Linked DNA regions of Solanum lycopersicum. The main gene of each other region encodes a partner of the protein of the gene in region 2 in a complex. Links are inferred from orthologs where the notes say so. Each region holds a gene or a part of one and is shown on either strand. Other genes may lie near its edges. The genes, in order: eukaryotic translation initiation factor 3 subunit K, eukaryotic translation initiation factor 3 subunit A-like and eukaryotic translation initiation factor 3 subunit E.

The links.
Region 1: eukaryotic translation initiation factor 3 subunit A-like (region 2) and eukaryotic translation initiation factor 3 subunit K share a complex: the UniProt entries of both Arabidopsis thaliana proteins name them as parts of the eukaryotic translation initiation factor 3 (eIF-3) complex. The link is inferred for Solanum lycopersicum from reciprocal best matches to the Arabidopsis thaliana genes EIF3A and EIF3K.
Region 3: eukaryotic translation initiation factor 3 subunit A-like (region 2) and eukaryotic translation initiation factor 3 subunit E share a complex: the UniProt entries of both Arabidopsis thaliana proteins name them as parts of the eukaryotic translation initiation factor 3 (eIF-3) complex. The link is inferred for Solanum lycopersicum from reciprocal best matches to the Arabidopsis thaliana genes EIF3A and EIF3E.

The regions. Positions count from the first base shown.
Region 1 is NC_090806.1:58,133,057-58,137,464, forward strand, and holds the start of eukaryotic translation initiation factor 3 subunit K, read left to right. Parts: upstream 1-1,502; 5' UTR 1,503-1,803; coding exon 1,804-1,932; intron 1,933-2,064; coding exon 2,065-2,121; intron 2,122-2,207; coding exon 2,208-2,258; intron 2,259-2,347; coding exon 2,348-2,410; intron 2,411-3,620; coding exon 3,621-3,671; intron 3,672-3,747; coding exon 3,748-3,814; intron 3,815-4,408. UniProt on the Arabidopsis thaliana protein: Component of the eukaryotic translation initiation factor 3 (eIF-3) complex, which is involved in protein synthesis of a specialized repertoire of mRNAs and, together with other initiation factors, stimulates binding of mRNA and methionyl-tRNAi to the 40S ribosome.
Region 2 is NC_090809.1:63,308,334-63,311,024, forward strand, and holds the end of eukaryotic translation initiation factor 3 subunit A-like, read left to right. Parts: coding exon 1-91; intron 92-172; coding exon 173-379; intron 380-534; coding exon 535-615; intron 616-863; coding exon 864-1,065; intron 1,066-1,430; coding exon 1,431-1,813; 3' UTR 1,814-2,053; downstream 2,054-2,691. UniProt on the Arabidopsis thaliana protein: RNA-binding component of the eukaryotic translation initiation factor 3 (eIF-3) complex, which is involved in protein synthesis of a specialized repertoire of mRNAs and, together with other initiation factors, stimulates binding of mRNA and methionyl-tRNAi to the 40S ribosome.
Region 3 is NC_090809.1:60,505,671-60,509,911, forward strand, and holds the start of eukaryotic translation initiation factor 3 subunit E, read right to left. Parts: upstream 2,954-4,241; 5' UTR 2,804-2,953; coding exon 2,593-2,803; intron 1,541-2,592; coding exon 1,386-1,540; intron 1,215-1,385; coding exon 987-1,214; intron 856-986; coding exon 734-855; intron 276-733; coding exon 56-275; intron 1-55. UniProt on the Arabidopsis thaliana protein: Component of the eukaryotic translation initiation factor 3 (eIF-3) complex, which is involved in protein synthesis of a specialized repertoire of mRNAs and, together with other initiation factors, stimulates binding of mRNA and methionyl-tRNAi to the 40S ribosome.

The DNA.
Region 1 (4,408 bases), on a different chromosome or scaffold from region 2:
CATTTCTTTTCTAGAGTACATAACTTTAACTCTATTCAATTGTATGTTTGCAACTATGATTACTTTAATGATTGAATTTGATATAGTCACATTTAATTATAGAAAGTATGTTCCTCATTTTGGTATATTTGGTTACTATAAAATCATAACTTTTGGGATTCTCAATCTGCACAAACTCAGTTAGTATGAAGATCTTGTTATAAGAAGTTGGGGATACAAAAGTAACGGAGATGGTACTCAATCTTTTAACTTTTTTGGATGCCTCAGGGATTTAGATTTTACGTTAAGTTGATATGGCACATTTAATTAGATATGTTGTGTTACACTTTGTCTAAGTAAATATTTATTATTAACATAACTTCACCATAAAACTATCGCCTTTGGCTGTAAATTTGTGAAATTAATGTAGTATATTATGTCTCAGTTGTTTGTTGTAGTATCTCTCTTACTTTCTTGCCAATATCTCTATCATTTATTTTTAGGTACTTTGACATCTTGCAATTTCATAAATGTTGTGACTGGATAAGCTTGCGTGGATTCCAATTGTACCATGTTGTTCTAGACTAAGATACCATCATCTTGTAACTAAAAACTCCTAACACTCTTTGACTTTTTGGGTTTTATTATCACTACTACTGCAACAACTTTTGAATCAGTGCATCTGCACGACATGTTTGTGTCTATTGTAAATATTGTGAACCTTATATATAGTAGTGTGACATCAAGCTTGTATTTAAGTAGTCTTGTGCTCAATAATTTGTTCAAGATTCTTGGTAAACTCCAATTTCAGTGGCTTTCGTCATTTCTTTCCTCTGGCCTTTTTCTAAAGGAATTAGATTATCAATTTCCTTAAGTTATATTGTTTGTCACCAAGCAATGTTAACGTGGTACAATACTAGATATTTATTATATTTATCTCTTATAGGCACCAATCATTTTTTTTTGTTCGTTTTTATCTTCTCTATTTTTCATATTTATTAATTTACTTTTACAAATAAAATCAATGCATAATTAATAATATATTACTTATTTATATTATTTATAACTCATATTTTTTCATCTTGCTTCTAATTTCCACTCTTCAATATTTTTCATAACTTCTTATGTTTTATTTCACAATATTTAATTAATGTTTTAAAAATTATTATAAATAATTTTAATAATAAAGATACAATGAAGAAATTCATTTATTTTTTTACGAAGTTAGAATTTGTATATAGAATCAGGTAATCTCGTCCCTACGAGGACATCCGATAAAAAAATCAAGTGATCCCATAAAAAATATAAATAATATTCAAATATAAAAAATATTTTGATGTAGCATAAAATATTATTATTTTAAGATATGACCTCTTATTCATTTGCTTTATCACAATAAACATTTTATCTTACTATATATGTATGAATATTTGTACTTAAAAAGATGAAAATAATAATATTCTTTTATATATATCCCGCACTAACATAAAAATATAAATATTTTTAATACTCAATTAAAACAAGATTGTTCATTAAATTATTATATGAACATATAATTATGCGAAGAGCGAACAATTTCACTTATGAAATATAATAATGTCAGAAAAAAATTTCAATTTAAATCAATCTAATTTCAAATCATATTCAAGGATTGAGAGAAATTTGAAGGGTATATCCGTCACAAACAAATAATCCCTCCCGTATCTCTTACTCTCGCCCTCTTAACCCTAAAACCTCCGTTCAGCTGTACTGCAAGTGCAACCCCTTTTGGCTCCTCTCTTCACCTTCCAATTTGTTCGAAAGCAGTCAGATACAGTTTACAAAATGGTTCAAGAGGCGACTAATGGTGGTTCCGAGAAGTCACAGTTGGCTATCACTGTAGAACAGCTCATTGCCGTTAACCCTTACAATCCAGATATCCTCCCTGATCTTGAAAACTATGTCAACGAACAGGTACACCAATTCACCATCGTTCATCACTCCAAAAATTAATCTTTTTGTAATGGGTTGCCAACCCCTTTTCAGATTTTTGTTTCTGCTGAATTTTCCGTTGTTATTGATTGAGTAATCCCAATGTTAATTTAGGTTTTGTCTCAAACATACAATCTGGATGCAAACCTTTGCCTGCTCCGTCTTTATCAGGTTTATATCGTTATTTTGAGAATTAATCATGGAGGTTTGTTTGTTGTTTGATTTTGTTTTTTTTTTATTTGTTTGGATGTGTGCAGTTTGAGCCGGACAGAATGAGTACACCAATTGTTGCTCGTATTTTGGTTAAGGTGCAATCAAGTTCTTGTTTTGCATACTGTGATATTACTTGTTGCCTCTGTTATTATCTAACTTATTATTTGCTTGGTTGTATTGATAGGCCTTAATGGCAATGCCAGCTCCAGATTACAGCCTGTGTCTCTTCCTAATCCCCGAACGAGTGGTATATATCTCTGAAGCTGCCTTGATTATGACTTTACCTTTGATGAATATGAATTGTAAATTTTGCTAGTCTTGTGTACTCTGCTGGAAAACATAAAAACTGTCACAGCCAAAGATGTAGGTAGATTTGTTACTACCCCTATTTGTGACCAGGAATATTAGCTATTCTCAGTCATGCCTAACACAGCTTGACAGTTGTTTCATGGCTTGTGTAAAATGAAAAAGGAAGGCAGTTGATCAGATGACATAATTCTACTATAAAAATACCCCAAAAGATCTTCCTATATTTCTAAATTTTTGAATACTCATTTGTCATCTCCTGCTGTGTATCCAACTAGATTGGAGGTACATCATTTTATTTTATAGCTGGCAGTTTGGGAAGGTTGCTTTGTTGGTTCAGAAATGTCCTCGTGCTAAGTTTTGAGGAAATTAGATAAACAGGAAAGTCTGAAACAAATAAATAGATACATAGTGATGTACGATATTTGGTGTTGCTCTATATATAAACCGATATCTGCAACATAAAGGTTGTAAAACTGAGCAACAACAACATACCCCAGTGTAGTTCCACAAGTGGGGTCTGGGGAGGGTAGGATGTACACAAACCCTTACCCCTACCTTTGTGGGGTAGAGAGGTTGTTTCCCAGAAGTTCTTCATTTCCTTATGTTGGTATTCTTTAATTTCTTAGCTAGTATAGTTTCATATTTGTTAATGAAATGCATCCTATGATGTACACAACCTTACCCCCCACTTTTGTGGGGTAGAGAGGTTGTTTCCCCGTAAGTTCTCCATTTTCTTGTATTGGTGTTCTTAAATTTCTTAGCTAGTATAGTTTCCTATTTGTTAATTAAATTCATCCAAAGGGATATTGAGGAGGGTGAGGATATACATAGCTGGCCCAAACAAGATTGGGATTGAGGAACAGTTAAGGTTGTTTCCTAGAAGTTCTTCATTTCCTTTTGAGGGGCACTTTCATGTACACTCTTTTTGCTGCAACCCCCATAGACATCTATTTATTGTTGCTCAACTTTGCAAACACTTTTCGCCTTAATTTTCTTTACTGTTTCACTGGGGTTGTGGTCATTGTGGTGATTTTTTTGGGAGCAAGGCAGAATGCATGCTTTGACATCTACATATGAATCTTCAACTGTGTTAGATGCATTGCCCTATCCTTTTTTCTTCATAATGATTTTCTCATTTCATTCCTCAGCAAATTGAAGAGCAATTCAAGACACTAAATGTTCTGTCACACTTCTTAGAGGTATGCCATGTTGTGTTTGCTGAAAGTTTCTTCCAACTCTGTAGTTAACCCAACAAGTACACACATCTTTTTGCAGACTGCAAGGTTCCGCCAATTTTGGGATGAAGCTGCAAAGAGCCGCCACATTGTGGAAGCTGTTTCTGGTATTACTGAATGCTTTAATCCACCCCTCATCCACAGTGTTCAATAGTAGCAATACGGATGCAATAAGAAACCTATTTGTTATACGTAATAAGTGTCAGATTTTGCGGCAACATGCTTAAAACTGTGGAGAGAGAGACATTTTATGAAGTGATTGAGTTTCAAATCATTTCCTTGACCCTATTTATTCCAACTATTAGTAGTAAAAATTTTGTTTCAGATATAACCCATCAATATTCTTGAGTTTTTGACTACCCAAAAAAAATTCCTAGAGTGTTTCTTGTTGACAATTACACTTGGCCCCACCTATTTACAACAAAATGAATGAAGCACAGAATATAACATTCTAAACCCCTCATATTAACCACATAATCTAGGTATTATCTCCATATACTTGATCCTCTCCTTGCCCAAAATGAATGAAGTACAGCGTATAATATTTATAACCCCTCATATTAACCACATGATCTGGATATTATCTCCATATAGTGTTAATCCTCCCCTTGCCCACAATGTGCAATAGCAGTTTTGATACAATGAGAGAACCTATTTCTTTTAAAAAGAATTACATTTTTCTGGACTTGCTTGGCTTTGTG
Region 2 (2,691 bases):
GATAGAGGACAGAGAACTCGAAGAGGCCCAAGCAATGCTGCAAGAAGCTGAAAAGCGCAGCAAGAGGAAGAAGAAACCAGTCTTAGATGGAGTACATACAAAATTTGGACCTTTTTTGGTTTATTTATTCAGATCTCTATAGAAATTCTTACTAATGTTAACCTAAGTGCAGGAAAAGATGACCAAAAAGGATATCATGGAGTTGGCATTACATGAGCAACTCAGGGAGAGGCAGGAAATGGAGAAAAAATGGCAGAAGTTTGCCAAAGTAATGGATTATTTGGAGAGAGCGAAGAGAGAAGAAGCAGCGCCTCTTATTGAATCTGCATTTCAACGGCATTTAGCTGAAGAGGCTACTCTTCATGAACGTGAGCAGCAGGTATGCATAGAATTAGCATTTGTTTTGCCTAACCACCATTAACAACCTATTGTTTGACATTTTCCTTGAATTCTTTCTGAAGGAACTAAATTTTGGTATTTCTTTTTGGTCAAATGTTGTTGATTAATGGATCTGGATTTACAACAATCTTGCAGCAAGAAATTGAATTGAGCAGACAACGACATGGTGGGGACCTTGTAGAGAAGAGTAGGCTGGGCCGCATGTTGGAGAATAAGGTCTCTTAATCTTAATTTTTTTTATTTGGTTGCATTATGTATTTGTGTCTTAGGACTATGTATTTGAGCTTATGGTTGTAAAGGGGCACTGCCTTTGATATTTGCTTCAACTAACTGAATTCTGTTATGCCACTGGCCTTTGGGAACCAAAGCTCACGGTTGTTGTTGGAAAAAGGTCTTTTGACATATTTTACACTTTGAATATGCTAGCGTTACACCATCAGCTGATATAGGCACTGATTTTGCAGAGAATATTCCAAGAAAGAGTTGTTAGCTGCAGGGAAGCCAAACTCAATAGCAAGAAACAGGAGAGACAAGAACAAATAAACCGGATAATTCAGACAAGGAAACAGGACAGGGACACTAGGAGGAAGCTGCTATTCTTTCTGCGAAAAGAGGAAGAACAACAGAAGAGGTTGCAGGAAGAGGAGGATGCGCGGAAACATGAAGGTATCCTTCTGGTTAAAGATGCATTTTACGCACTGCATTTCGATTTTCAATGAAGTGCGTTTCACCAAGACGTTTATGCTTCTGATAACATTTTAGCAGAGCATCATTTAATTGTCGTTGCTTATTTAAACCTGACCTTTTCGAGGTTATGCATACCGTCTGTAATGTACTCTCACCTTCGCAAGTCCTTTCATGCATGCGTCGTTGTCTGGTTTATAATCCTCAAGTGTTTAGGAGCTACACTGACCCCTCTCAAGTTCTTTTTATCCTTCACCAATCTACCCTTTTTCTTTTGGGGTTGTGGTTTTGAGTTGTCATTTATTGTCCATTTAGAATCCTATGACAATGCATTGAGAATTTTGCAGAGGCAGAGAAGCGAAAAAGAGAGGAAGCTGATCGGAAGTCCAAGTTAGATGCTATTGCAGAAAAGCAGAGGCAACGAGAGCTAGAACTTGAAGAGAAGAAAAGGCTGGAGAGAGAGGTGGTCTTGGGGAAATCCATGCCTATGTCACTTGAGCCTTCAACTATAGGTCGTCCCTCAGAAGCTGGAGCAACTGCACCTGCAGCAACAGCAGCTGCACCTACTCCCGGTAAGTTTGTGCCCAGGTTCAGAAGAGAGAAAATTGACGTAGCAGGCCAGTCTCCACCTCCCGAGACTGATCGGTGGAGCAGTGGTGGCAGGCGTGATGAACGAAACTCGTTTGGTGGTGGTTCAAGGACCAGTTGGTCATCCTCTAGGCGCAACTAATTGCAGTGAATCAGAGGCAGTAAATCAAGCCGTTTGCATAGTCGGGACACTTTTTTTACAAAATTTCAATTTTGGCTGTTAGTTATTGAAAACTTCTCTTTGTGTATCGGAAACAACCTCTCTGTCTTCTCAAGTTAGGGGAAGAGGTTTACGTACACCAACCTGTGGAATTACACTAATTTAGTCATTGAAATATTTGTTTTTTGGAAAATTTTCAAAATAACAATCTTTTAGTTTTTAGTGTGACTTCTTATTCATAGTTTCATTATTTATTAAAAATGTCATTATTTTAGTTTGTTAAAGAATTAATTATGTATTTATTATTATTCTGAAAAGAATATAAATAATTAGTTACAGAACATAGAAAATTATGGAACAAAAAAATTAAAAAAAGATTTTAATTTAATATAATACAATTAATTAATAACAAAATAGAGAAGATCAAGGAAAATAATATTTCAAATAAACTAATTTTTGAATTTAGACCAACAAAGTTACGTTACCATAATTATTAACTTTCCTATTATACGTGTTTGGTTCCACAATCGACATGATTTTTTTCCCTCTTATTCCTCAAATTTACAATACTAATTTTTAACACTTCATTGAAAATACTAAATCTATGTAGAATTGAAGTCGATTGATTTAAGATTTTTGCGAACAGTGAAGAAGATTTTACAATGAAAAAAATAAAAAATAAATACAAAATTTGTTGGCAAACAAAGTGAGCATAAAAAATCTAAAACTTGTTAACATACATTTAAAATTGTTATAGAATAAGAGTCTGTTTGGATGAGCTTAAAAGTTGGTCAAACTGACTAGTTTTTGACTTATTAGAGCGTTTGACAATTATCAAAGTGACTTAAGGCATTCTTGAA
Region 3 (4,241 bases), about 2.8 Mb from region 2:
TACAACTATGATGTGACCATGCATCAAAGCGGATAAGCTACGCACAAAAGCTTACCTCTTCGCACTCCTTCATCTTCTCCTGTGCCCCATCAAAATCATAGTCGACGTAAATACATGCCAAAAACTCTGTGATGGGATCTTTACAAGAGTGTTGCTCCTGCTGAATAACCTTTATAAAGTCCTTAAATTGAGGTCTTCTTCTTTTGTTGACAATAAATGCAATAGCCAAGTACCGCAGCAAGTGGGGAGCACTTGTTTGAATGGCATTCAAGTATCTGCAAGACTTCAATGATTTAGAAAAGCTCAAAGGGAAGATGTAAATCCATAGAATACCAACAAAAGGAAAAATAACAGCTACTTTAATCGAGACATATCAAGAAGAATACTGTCTTAATGTATGTTACCACAAAAGAAGAGCAATATTTATTTCAAACATTTTGGAATAAGAAAACTATATTTCAAACATAATTCTGCTGTATGCAAATAAGAAATACAGTGTGTTCCTGACCCTCCAGATCATGTTTCATTCTAATTCATCTAGTTTTCTCCATTTTCCCACTAAGGGAAAGAACTAGGTAATCGGAGCTTCCTAAAATATTTCTCTACATCATACTCGGTAGGTGATAGTATCAGAAAAAATGCCTAGCTCAAACAGGATGGGGAAATCTAAAATGAAGCAGCAAATGAAAACAATCATCTATAAGCAATAGCAACTAAAGTACAGTTGGCATACTTGTCCTGGTTAAACAGGTCAATGATCAGTGTCCTGCCATTGTCATGGTTGAAGAAGATGAATAGACTCCAATGCATTAGCCATATTCTATTCTGAACTTGATTCAACGGAGTAGAGAAACTCTGCAAGACAAGCGACACTTTTAGTACACTTGGTAAACTGAGGATCATTCAGTTTTTTCCTACAGGATACTCAACTTGGTAAGACTAACTCAAACAGACAGATTGTTGACTCAATATATGCAAAATATTACCTTTGAGTCGATAATTTCTTTCAAGCGGTTGAGTTCCTCGAGTGCAATATCCCAATTCTGCATTAGTATCTCCGCTGCAAGCTTTCCCCACAATGCACTGACGCTCCTGTCACTGTTTGTGCACAATGCTCGGTACTGGTAAAGATAATCAGCAGCACCAGAATAGTTTCCACATTCAAACTGAAATTTGGCATATTGATACAATGCCTCTATCTGGTCCGGACCAATCTGGACAGGTTTGTAAGAGCATTACTAAAATAAAAAATGTATATTCACAAAATTAGCTAGAGACCAACTTCTGTTTGTGATCCCTTTAACAAGTATATTATTAATTATACAACATTAAGTACTAAAGAAGAAGGAACTCTATATCATGTAAATCAAACTAGATCTATGCACCTGGTACCGCTCCTGGAGCAACTGAAGATTGTGCTGTTTGTCAGCTCTCAACTCCTGCACAGCACTGGAATTCTGCAAAAAAGTGATCAATGGGGCTGCAGCTTCCTCAAGTGCTTTCAACCTTGCCACAACCTCGGCTCTCCTCTCCATCATTTCTGAACAATCAAACGGCAATTATAAAGACAGTGCAGAATTTAAACATGTAAAGGAACTCCCAAAATCACTTCTGCTCAAACTAAACTTTTTTAATAACAGAGGAATCCCTGAGGGCAAGTCGCAAATGGTTAGACTCTGTACCGACACGTATGTGTACCAACAGTTTATCTTATCTAAGTACACCAAGAAGGTTTTAATCTACATACATTGCATGCATTTACTGTAAAGCTCAAACAGAAAATCCAGACAACAACGTCAAAATTGCCTCCCATATCAAATCTCTATCTGATCACAACTATACAGATTCCTCAAGGGACAACTCCAAAGAAAACCTACGGAGACTGCCCCAACAGAATTACAATACCCCCACAAGAAAACAACTTCTATGCTAAAAAGGGCACTGCTAAGTCACCAGATTTTTTTACTCTTATACATCAACTATACAGATTATCCCCTTCGAATAAATTTTAAACAACTTCTACAGACCAGAACCATCAAAATTACAACTACCACCATATCACCACCCCAAAAAAGAACACCTTTTGTTAAAAGTGCAAAAGCATTAAGTGAAGCAACAAATAAATAAGCATTCACCAATACGTGGACCAATATGTAAACATACACCAATATGAAGGGAAACAGGAGACACCTGAAGGACAACTTCTACAACTTCTATAGAGACCATATCCATTAAAACTAACAACCCCACACCACACACGAAAACCTTCATGCTGAAAAGGGCACAAGGTATTTCGATCAGTAAGGGCACAAATCAACGGGCATTCATACCAAAGGGAAAGAAAGAGAAACCTTGACGTACAACCCCACCCCACACAACACACAAATCAATGCGTATTCACTACTACAAAGGGGGGAAAGAGATAACCTTGAGGAACAGCACATAGACAACTTGTATAAACAATATCCATAAAATTCACAACCCCACCCCCCCAAAAAAAAACCCCTTTTGCTAAAAAAAAAAAGCACAAGTATTAAGATTAATAAACAAAAAAATCAATTGGAAACACGAAGCGAAAAAATTAAATGATACCTTGAGGCACATCGTCAGTATGATAGAGAGACTTATGAATATCCATAGCATAATCAACCATGTTAGTGTGATTAAGCAGCTCAATCTTCGCCTTGAGTATATATTCATCTGGGTATAATCCCTGCTCTTGCAAAAACTCCAGTAACGGGAAAATCAAGTGAATGTCCAATTGCTGCGCTACACGTGGCGTCAAATCGTACTTCGACGCCATGATTGCTACTGTCGGTAAGAGATAGCAACCACAAAACTCGCCGCCGTGCAGAACCAGAGAAACTGAAAAGATGAGAAGTGGATCGGTAGAAGAAAGATTTCTAGGGTTTCGTCTTTTTTGCTGTAAGGAATAAATAATGTTGAAACTCCCCCTTGGGTTTTAAATATTGTTACCTTTAACCCCATCTTCAATACAACTACTTTTTCTTTTTCTTTTTTTTTTGTTTTGGTTTTGATTTTTACGATAGAAAATAATTTGTTTGATTGAATTTTTAAAAAAATCCAAAAGTGTTGATTTCTAAAAACAATAAGGTAAAAGTATTATCATAATAATATTGTTAAATATTACGCTAACTATTATCAATAATTATTAATTTTTATAATCGATCCACTATCGAACGATGACCATCAAATTATTTCTACTATCGAATAATCTTAGTATCTCTAATTGCAACCTCCTTCAACCATTATTTATTATACTATGTCACTAACCATCTTCAATAACAATATACGTCATTTTTTTACTAATATCGTCAATTATTACCTTCATTTTTAACAATTATAATCAATCACTTATAGTCATCACTTCACGATTATCATTACTAACTATCACCATCTTTGTTTGACCCTGTGAACGTGCTTCATCAAAACAATTTCACTCGAATATGTTAATTTTATAATATTCGATTATCATTTTTTGAACTCTATATACTACTCCTAGGAGTAGTTTTAAAATAAAGATGAGTTCCATATATTCACATGCTATAGTAAAAAGAATAAACAACTTATCTTAAATTATTTTTTTGGGCAACTGAATGCATTTTATTACCAAAGTGGCAAAATATGGCTAAAAAAAACACCAGAGCATATTCCAACTAATGATCGTTATATGTTCCTAAAGTCTTTAACGATATTAATTTTAATGACACTTATCTAATGCCCATGTGACTTTAACACTCTTTATTAATGTCAATATTTTATCCCGCTAAAAATTATTTTCATTAAAGATCACTATGCATAAATTTGATAAGAGGTCTAATAGTATTATCATTCTTGTCGTTCTTGTTTTTAATTCATAGGGCTACATTATTCTGAAAAGTCTTGTAATTCAATACCAAATAAACTCCATATGAATAAAGCACAACCCTTTATTAACCTTAAAATAAAGATAAAAGTAGACTTTTGGGCTCCTTGAAATAGATTTGTTTATATTTTATTTTCTAAAATAAGCCGAACCAAATACTCTTTAAAGTAGTCATGATCGAATAGTAAACACATCAAAAGAAACACAAAGGATTTAGTTTTGATAGCCCATTAACTGCTCTACAACACACTAGACTTCTACAAGCAAGTAATTCAACTTCACCCTGGAAACTGTTTACAAAAACTAACAGAAGCAAACATCTCTCTACTGAAAACAAACGAAAACGAAGCTGGTA